Linked DNA regions of Mus musculus: region 2 is reported to be linked to region 1. The links are microRNA targets in miRTarBase. Many come from high-throughput screens and were not tested one by one. Region 1 holds a microRNA gene; the other region holds the end of a gene's coding sequence.
What was found. Region 1 holds the annotated microRNA mmu-miR-708-5p (AAGGAGCUUACAAUCUAGCUGGG, at 2,803-2,825, opposite strand). A microRNA usually pairs through its seed, bases 2 to 8, with sites in the 3' UTR of a target mRNA and lowers its output. Matches are read on the target gene's strand: a 7mer-m8 pairs with bases 2 to 8, a 7mer-A1 pairs with bases 2 to 7 and ends in A, and an 8mer does both.

Region 2: the mRNA of Gjc3 is a reported target of mmu-miR-708-5p. Seed matches in the 3' UTR shown: 7mer-m8 at 734-740 and 7mer-m8 at 713-719.

Annotation. Positions count from the first base shown.
Region 1 is chr7:96,248,123-96,252,274 of GRCm38, reverse strand. It overlaps Mir708 (microRNA 708), which reads right to left and starts at 2,851; the gene lies at 2,743-2,851. The region is part of intron 1 of Tenm4 (teneurin transmembrane protein 4); the gene reads right to left.
Region 2 is chr5:137,953,678-137,957,677 of GRCm38, forward strand. It overlaps Gjc3 (gap junction protein, gamma 3), which reads right to left. Exons shown (of 3, transcript NM_080450.5): 2 at 3,528-4,000; 3 at 196-2,767. The coding sequence ends at 3,535. Among named protein-coding and RNA genes, the nearest start is that of Gjc3, 7.4 kb to the right of the region's middle.

The DNA of each region.
Region 1 (4,152 bases):
AGAGCTAGTCAGAAGAGCATCAAGATCCTCACCCATCCAGGTGACTCCATGCCACATGGCTACTGGGGAACCGTATAGATGTGCCAACCTTAGGCTCCTTTATACACTTTCCTGAGCTAAGCCATTATCTTCAGTATTTGATGTCCAAAGTTAATTCCTTTCCTGACCAACAGTTGCTGCCACTCATGGACAACAAAGAAGGACATCCTGGTGACCCCAGAGAATGCTAAGGGTCACTAGAGAGTACAAGCAGTTGGCCTCTATAGAAGCTAGGAAGTAAAATATGCTAAGGGCATGTGTCTGGGGTATCACTGGGCTCCTCCCAAGGACCACATTCTTGTCTGTGTCAGGGAGAGCTAGCGGCTAAATGACTAGAAAAACTTGGGCAATTTTATAACTTTTTTTTTTAATTTCCCCTTATAGGATTTGCATATAACCATCAAATCAATCTTAGCTGCTGTCAAGTGGAGTTAGCATGGTGGAGAGTTAGGAAAAAAAATTGTCAAGATTTTAAAAATACTGACTCCGTTCCACCAAGGATGTTTGCTAATGTGATAAACGTAAGCCACAGGCACCCTGCACACCAAACAGAATGGATAGGGAAAGAGGATCTGAGGAGACAGATGGGAGTCAAATCGGGCTCTCTCTACTTGCTTGGATTGAATTACTGAGACTTTAAAGGAGCCATTCAAACTCTGTAAGTTCCTTCCTCTGTCAAGAGTAGGTGATAAAACCTTCCTCCTTGAGGTTGTGAAGATTAATTGGAATTGTGTATAAGAAAGTGCCCAGAAAAGTTCCTGACATGCAACCTGCACTCAATGAGTGGTAATTATTATTATCTCATTAGCCCAAACTCTACCCAAGGCAGTAACCCTTCCTTAAGCAGACAGCAAATGAGAGAACTATCAGGTCACTTCTTGAATAAATATTTGTTGGCTGATTTTGTAATTAGTTGGCTACAGACCCAGAAGACAAACATGCGTGCACACACTCTCCAGAACACAATTCTCTACGCTAGCTGATATTAAATGGTTAAATTCCCACCATGGAGACAGACCATGCACGGGTCCTCACCAGTCCTTGCGATGTGTCCTTAGCTATTTTTTAAAAACCACATAAGACTCCTTTAAATAACACTGCCTAACCATGGAACAAATCCCTTCCAACTTCGGGAGCACTGTGAACCTGGGAGGAGACCTTTGTGTATTCAGGGCAGAGCATATCTAACAAACATTATCTAACAAACATTAGAACAGGGCTACTCTCTCCAAGCATCCCTCTTCCCGACTCCTTCCATCATTTCAAAAGAGATACATGGGCTGGCCTACCTTACTTGTTCCCTGGGCTTTGATTTCACCATCGTAAGCTGGAAAAGTTAAGACTACTTACATCACAGTGCACTTTGAAGATGAAATAAAATGGTCCAAAGTTCAAATACTAGTCTCCCCATCAAGTGCATCCTCAAGCCTCATTTTCCTCATGAGCAAAATGGAGATGATAACCATATTTATATCATAAGGGAAAGGGGACAAGGATGGTGCATGCTGCTGTGTAGCACAGTGCCTGGTACAGAGTAACACAGAATTAAAGTTGGTTACTGTCATTTTTCTCTTATTGTATCTACCCCGACATATATCTTCCCATGAGCCACTGTCATTTGCCACTTTTCAATTTAAGAAATGCACTCAGGTTTGGACTCTGCAGTCCTGAATTTTATGCCTGAGGTTTCAGGTAGGGGGCACGTTACCCAAGATAGATTTAAAAGAGCTGCTAACATGCCAGACCTCACTTTGAATGAGTTTGATAGGCATTTATGAAGTCTTTAATATAGATTAGAACAATTTAAAATATTGATTTAAAAGTCAGTGACTAGCAGACTAAAAATCATAACAAAGGAGTATCCAGAAATAAAGGCAAGTGACTCATAGAAGTCATATATTACAGCCCCTCTTCCTTTAAAGACTAAGCGCTCATTAAGGTGTTACTTGTGTAGGCCTTGTGCTAAGCACTGGGAAATGAACAAATAAGTCAATGGTTCTTCTGCTCTCTAGGAGCTCACATTCTAGGGGGAAGAGATTTATACAAAGAACACAAGTTCCCCTAACAGAGAAAGGCCAAAACAGAGCTTCAGACTCCATGTGGGATATTAAGAAGTAAAAGACACTTTCCAAAGAAGATGACACTTATCTGAAGCACTTTTCAGCCACTTTTATGAGTTAGTTTTGCTGGTTATAAAATTCACACATAGTCATCACAGGACATCGAGAAAGCACATTATCAGAAAATTAAAGCATTAACCATTTTTTTATCACTAGAGACAATAACTGATACATTCCAAGAGCATTTCTCTGTTAATTTTCAACCCACCTATTTAGCCAGTCTATATACAATGAGAAAGATGTTCCAATTTAATCAACATTAAACACAAGCACTTTACATTGAGCTCAGTCCAAAACAATAACTCTGGACCTTTGCTTTGAAGACCAAGCCCAGGAGTTGAAGAGCCAGGGCTGGCCTCAAGAAGTAATTGACATTGAGTTGCACATTGCTGATTCGGTTGCAGCAGTGGTATGGAGCATCCCACCCAGGGATGGAGCCAGGAGACACTGTAGAGCTGGAGTCAGTGCTCAGGAGACAGTTCAGGCCTACAGAGTTCTCAGCAAACAGGCAGTGGTTGGCGCCATGGGGATGGAGGATGTCCCACAGGGAGGGTGTGCAGAGTGAGCAGAGAGATGACTAGGGTAAGGCCCCTGCCCTCTAGAAGCTCACAGTCTAGTTGTGTTCAAGTGCAAGTCATCTACCCCCAGCTAGATTGTAAGCTCCTTGAGGGCAGTCCCCATTTCAAACACAGCTGTCCCTCGGCAACCAAGGGGGATAGGTTTCTGTTAACCCCTGGGGCAGGAGAAGTCAGGCTTGAGGAATTTAGGACCTTAGTATGGAAAAAAAACAGGGTTAGGGGAACGAAGGCACCAACTAACTTCTGAAATCATATTTGTACATTGATATAAAATTGACAATGACAGCATCCTAAAAACATTGAAAATTTGTGACACTTAAAATGATCGACATATAATAACAACATCCACTTTACAAGTCATTTTCATTGGCTATTCATTTCTTTAATAGACTTCTTTTCATAGCGGTAACAAGATGTATATGAAATCATCTTTGTATAACATAACTTCTAAAAGTCATTTCTGTGTGGTTTCCCATGTAACTACTCAATGCATTTTGTTTTATTGTTCTCATCTTTAATTTTGTTTTCTGAGGTGCTGAGGATTGAACCTAGGGTCTCACATGTATTAGGTAAATGTTTAGCCACTGATCTACATTCCTAGCCCGATACTAGATACCTATGGCTTTTATGACTTCAGCCTATTGATGTCTATCTTTTGGTCCCACATGCAATGTAATGTAAGTGTATGTCCACATCTTAACAGGATGACTGCTAAGGTTAGACAGATACCCCTACCACCTTTCCCATCTCATGAACACGTTCTTCCGCTGCTCTGCTGCCCACCTATTTTAGGGCAAGTTTCCTCAAGTCCCATTGGAATAGACAGACTCCTACCTGAGTTTGAATCTTTGCAGCGTCTTAAAGAATGTATAATGGTGGAGTTGTCAATATTACAGCTGAATGTCATTCTTTCGAAGGCTTAACACATTCTTCACATGCTAGCTTTGGGTGAATGCTCAAAGAACCCCTGTTGAACTTAGCAATTTCTGAGCCCAACCTAAAGGGTGTGGGTTATTTTCCCTCTCTCAACTCACTGCTCCAAATGAATATTAAACCTTCACACAGCACAGATACTGAAATATTTGTAGGCACATTTAATTTTCCCGTCTGGCAGGTCATGACAGCAAGAAGCAACTAATAGATGCAATCTATCTGCATTCAAGAAGGCAATTTTGAGTTCCACATGACATGCTGTCAATAGAGTCAAGTGATATGGCCCTTTAGTGAGAGAATTCTCCATCTTTTCCAGCTCATGGACCACCTGGATAAAGCCAAAGACCTGCTAACCATCGGTTCCTAGAGCACATTTTTGACACAAAATTGTCACCTGGGAGGCTAAACGTTGCTGGATAAGACATCAGCATGACAATGTTTTTTCAATGAAATAATCAGGTACACTTATGTAGCACTTTACA
Region 2 (4,000 bases), not on the chromosome of region 1:
CTTTTCTCATGTTTTACATCCCAACTGCTGTTTCACCTTCCTCTCTTCCCCCCAATCTCTCCCCAGCATCTTCCCACTCCCCCCAGTCTTACCCCCTCCACATCCCCTGAGAAAAGAGCAGTCCTCCCAGGGACATCAACCAAACACTGTAATGCAAGCTACAATAAGAGCAGGCACATACATCACATCAAGACAAATGCTTATCTTTGCCTTTACTTCTGAGAGTTAGTTCTGCCAATCATGGGCCTCTAGATTAACAGTAAATTTTTCTTTCTTACAATTCAAATACTTTGCTCATTTACATTGTTTCCAATAAGAAAGATAATGTCATTTTGTCTTTTTTTTTCCACTCCATAAGAGATCAGAGTCAAACATAAGTTAAAAGTATAAAATTCTTAGATGGAAACACAAGTGTAAACTCATAGTTTTGAGTCAAACAATGGTCTCTTAAATGTAGCACCAAATTCACAAAAGCCAAAAGAAAAACAAGTAATTAGAGTTCATTAAAATGTAAAATGCATCCAGAGACTACCCCACCCAGGGATCCATCCCATAATCAGCCACCAAACACAGACACCATTGCATATGCCAGCAAGATTTTGCTAAAAGGACCCTGATATAGCTGTCTCTTGTGAGGTTTTACCAGTGCCTGGCAAATACAGAAGTGGACGCTCACAGTCATCTATTGGATGGAACACAGGGTCCCCAATGGAGGAGCTAGAGAAAGTACCCAAGGAGCTGAAGGGATCTGCAACCCTATAGGTGGAACAACAATATGAACTAACCAGTACCGCCATAGCTCCTGTCTCTAGCTGCATATGTAGCAGAAGATGGCCTACTCTGCCATCATTGGGAAGAGAGGTCCCTTGGTTTTGCAAACTTTATATGCCCCAGTACAGGGGAACGCCAGGGCCAAGAAATGGGAGTGGGTGGGTAGGGGAGCGGGGAGCAGGGCGCGGGGGGAGGGTATAGGGGACTTTCTAGATAGCATTTGAAATGCAAATGAAGAAAATACCTAATAAAAAATTGGGGAAAATGCTGGGCGTGGTGGCGCACGCCTTTAATCCCAGCACTCGGGAGGTAGAGGCAGGCAGATTTCTGAGTTCGAGGCCAGCCTGGTCTACAGAGTGAGTTCCAGGACAGCCAGGGCTACACAGAGAAACCCTGTCTCAAAAAAGAATTGGGAAAAAAATGTAAAGTTTTGTACATCAAAAAATATTGCCAACTCTATGCTGGGTAGCCTTCCTAGTCATCAAAACTCTTTCTCATGTATGAATCTGATGAGTTCCAACAACCAGCCTCACAAGACACATGCATGGGTGAAACAGTGGTGTAGCTGGTACAGGAGTAACCAACTGCTTTCTGATTCGATTGAGGATTCACTCCACAAGAGAAACCCCATGCCTGGTACTACAAATCTGGCCAAGAACCCATCCTGCGGAGCTCAAAAGCCCTACAGAAAAGTCACTATTAGTTTGCTAAATTGACATAGTATCAAACTGTCTTCTAAATGATTCTCGAAACTCATAGATTAGGTCAGTTTTCAACACTGACCACAGACTTTTTCTTTTTACAGTGAACAGTGGCCAATATACAGACTTACAATTTGTAAATGCAGAAACAGGTGTCCATGTAATATTCAGTCTCAAATGAGACATCGACAGCACATCCTTGCCCCCCAAAGCTCAAGGGAACATTAGAGAAGATGGAGAAATGGGAAAGAAAAATGTAAAGATCCAGTGCTCTGGGAGATCTGCTATGAAACAACATCTTATGAACACAGCAGGAACTTGCATTCATAAACTCACAGAAGCAGTGGTTGCCTGCACAAGCTCAAGACACTCAGCATTACAGGATGAATGAGAGAAGGACTACCCACAACTGAGGAACTGTTGGCAGTTGATCAATGCTGGCAGAGGAAGACTCCATCTTCTTTGGGTGTGGCATCGAGTAGGTTGACTGTGTTCGGGTAGATAGCTTCACACCAATTCACACTTTGAGTAGCACTGATTTTTGTTCTCAGTGGGTTATAAAGAAAAGAAGAGGACAAGAAATTAGGATAGGGACATGTCAGGAGATCCAAGAGCAGTGATACAGGGATATAGGGTAGACGTGATCAAAACACACTGTATACATGTAGGAAATTATCAAAGAATAAATAATTTTAAAGAAATGCTACTCAGGAAGAAAATGAAGATGACCCATGGAATAGAAGAGAATGTTTTGAAATGAGCCACTTGATAGGTATCTAACAATTATATAGTTTATACAAGGCAAAAATAAATAACCTAATTTAATTGGCAAAAAACTTGGTCTTTTCTACAAAGATATACAAGTGATTAATAAGCATACTGTATGATTCCATCTCTATACAATCCCAGAATAGGATAGATAATCCATTAGAACAGAAAGTAGCCTGTTTTTTGTTTATATTTAGTGGAGAGACAGGAAAGAAAAATTAGAAGTGGCAGCTAATTGATGTAGGAGGTCTTGTTTTGTTTTCTGAGATTTTATTATTTTATTTATTCTTTGTGTGTGTGTGTGTGTGTGTGTGTGTGTGTGTGTGTACTCTTCATGACATGTATGTGGGCAACTTGTGGGAGTTGGTTTTCTCCCTTCTCCGTGTGGGTTCTGGAGATCAATCTCAGATCATGAGGCTTGACTGCAAGCACCTTTACCCCTGTACCATCTCCCCGGCCACCTCACTGGATGTATTGAAGATCAAGTCCCAGAGTTTTCTGCAGGCAATCCAGGCAACTTTACAACTCTGAAAAGTAGAAATTAAGCAGAAGCTGAGGATTTTACCAAATGAAAGAGCAGGCAATACACAAACCAGTGTGCTTATCGGGGTCTACCACAAGGAGTCATGCAACTGATAGGGATAGGTATTGGGAAACGGTTTGGGGGTAGTAATCAAATACATGCCTCAGCCATGAGACTGAGAGCATGGTGGCTCTTGCTTTTAATCTTAGAACTTGAGAGCCAGAGGCAGATGGTTCTCCATGAGTTCAAAGCCAGCCTGATCTACTATAGCAAATTTCACGCCAGTCAGGGCTAGCTGTTTCATATACATATATGAATGCCTTCTCCACCAAGAGAGACTGTACCCTCAAACTGTGAACCAAAGTAAACATTTCATCCCTTAAAAAATACATCTGGGTTCTGGAGAGATGTCCCAGTGGTTAGAGTGCAAAGAAACCAAAGTTTGCTTCCCAGTTCCCACATTGGACAGCTACCTGTAATTCCAGCTCCAAAAGATCTACCACCTTCTCTGGCCTCCACCGGCACCTGAATATTCTCTCTCTCTCTCTCTCTCTCTCTCTCTCTCTCTCACACACACACACACACACACACACACACACACACACAAACACACACACACCAAAGTAAAAGTAGAATGCCTCTGCTTAGAAACTTTGTAACATGGGAACTGTACACCCCAAAGGATGAGGGGCCTACTCTAAGTGGGGACTGCTAACACAGAGAGATCAGAGGCAGGGATAGATGATTGGCAGTAGGGTCCTCACCTGCATCTCAAAATGGCTCTTTTGCCTCCACCACTGACAATTCATCGGTTGTGTCCTTGGATCTTACAGAGCTCTCTGAAGTTGGCAACTTCTTTAAGAAGGAAAGTTTGTGCTTGTATATCCTCCAAAACCTCCCTAAACCCAAAAGCGCAAGCTCCAAGAAAATAAATAAGAAACAGGCCCCGCTGATCCCAAACATGATGTTGAGGAAGATGGTCTTCTCAGAGGGGTGAGACTGGAAACAGGTTGTGCTGCCAATACAAGGATCCTCACGACATATAAAAGTGCTGGACATCTTGAAACCATACAGATTGTACTGAACACCTAGAGCTGCTCCCTCAAGGGCCAGCCGTACCCCAAGGTGTGCCACATAGGCCCAGAGAAGCTTGAGGCTTTTAGCCCCTGAGACATCCTTGCTATGATCCCCTTTGCTAATCTGGGTCTCTTGCTCCTTGTTTTCCTTTCCTGGTACC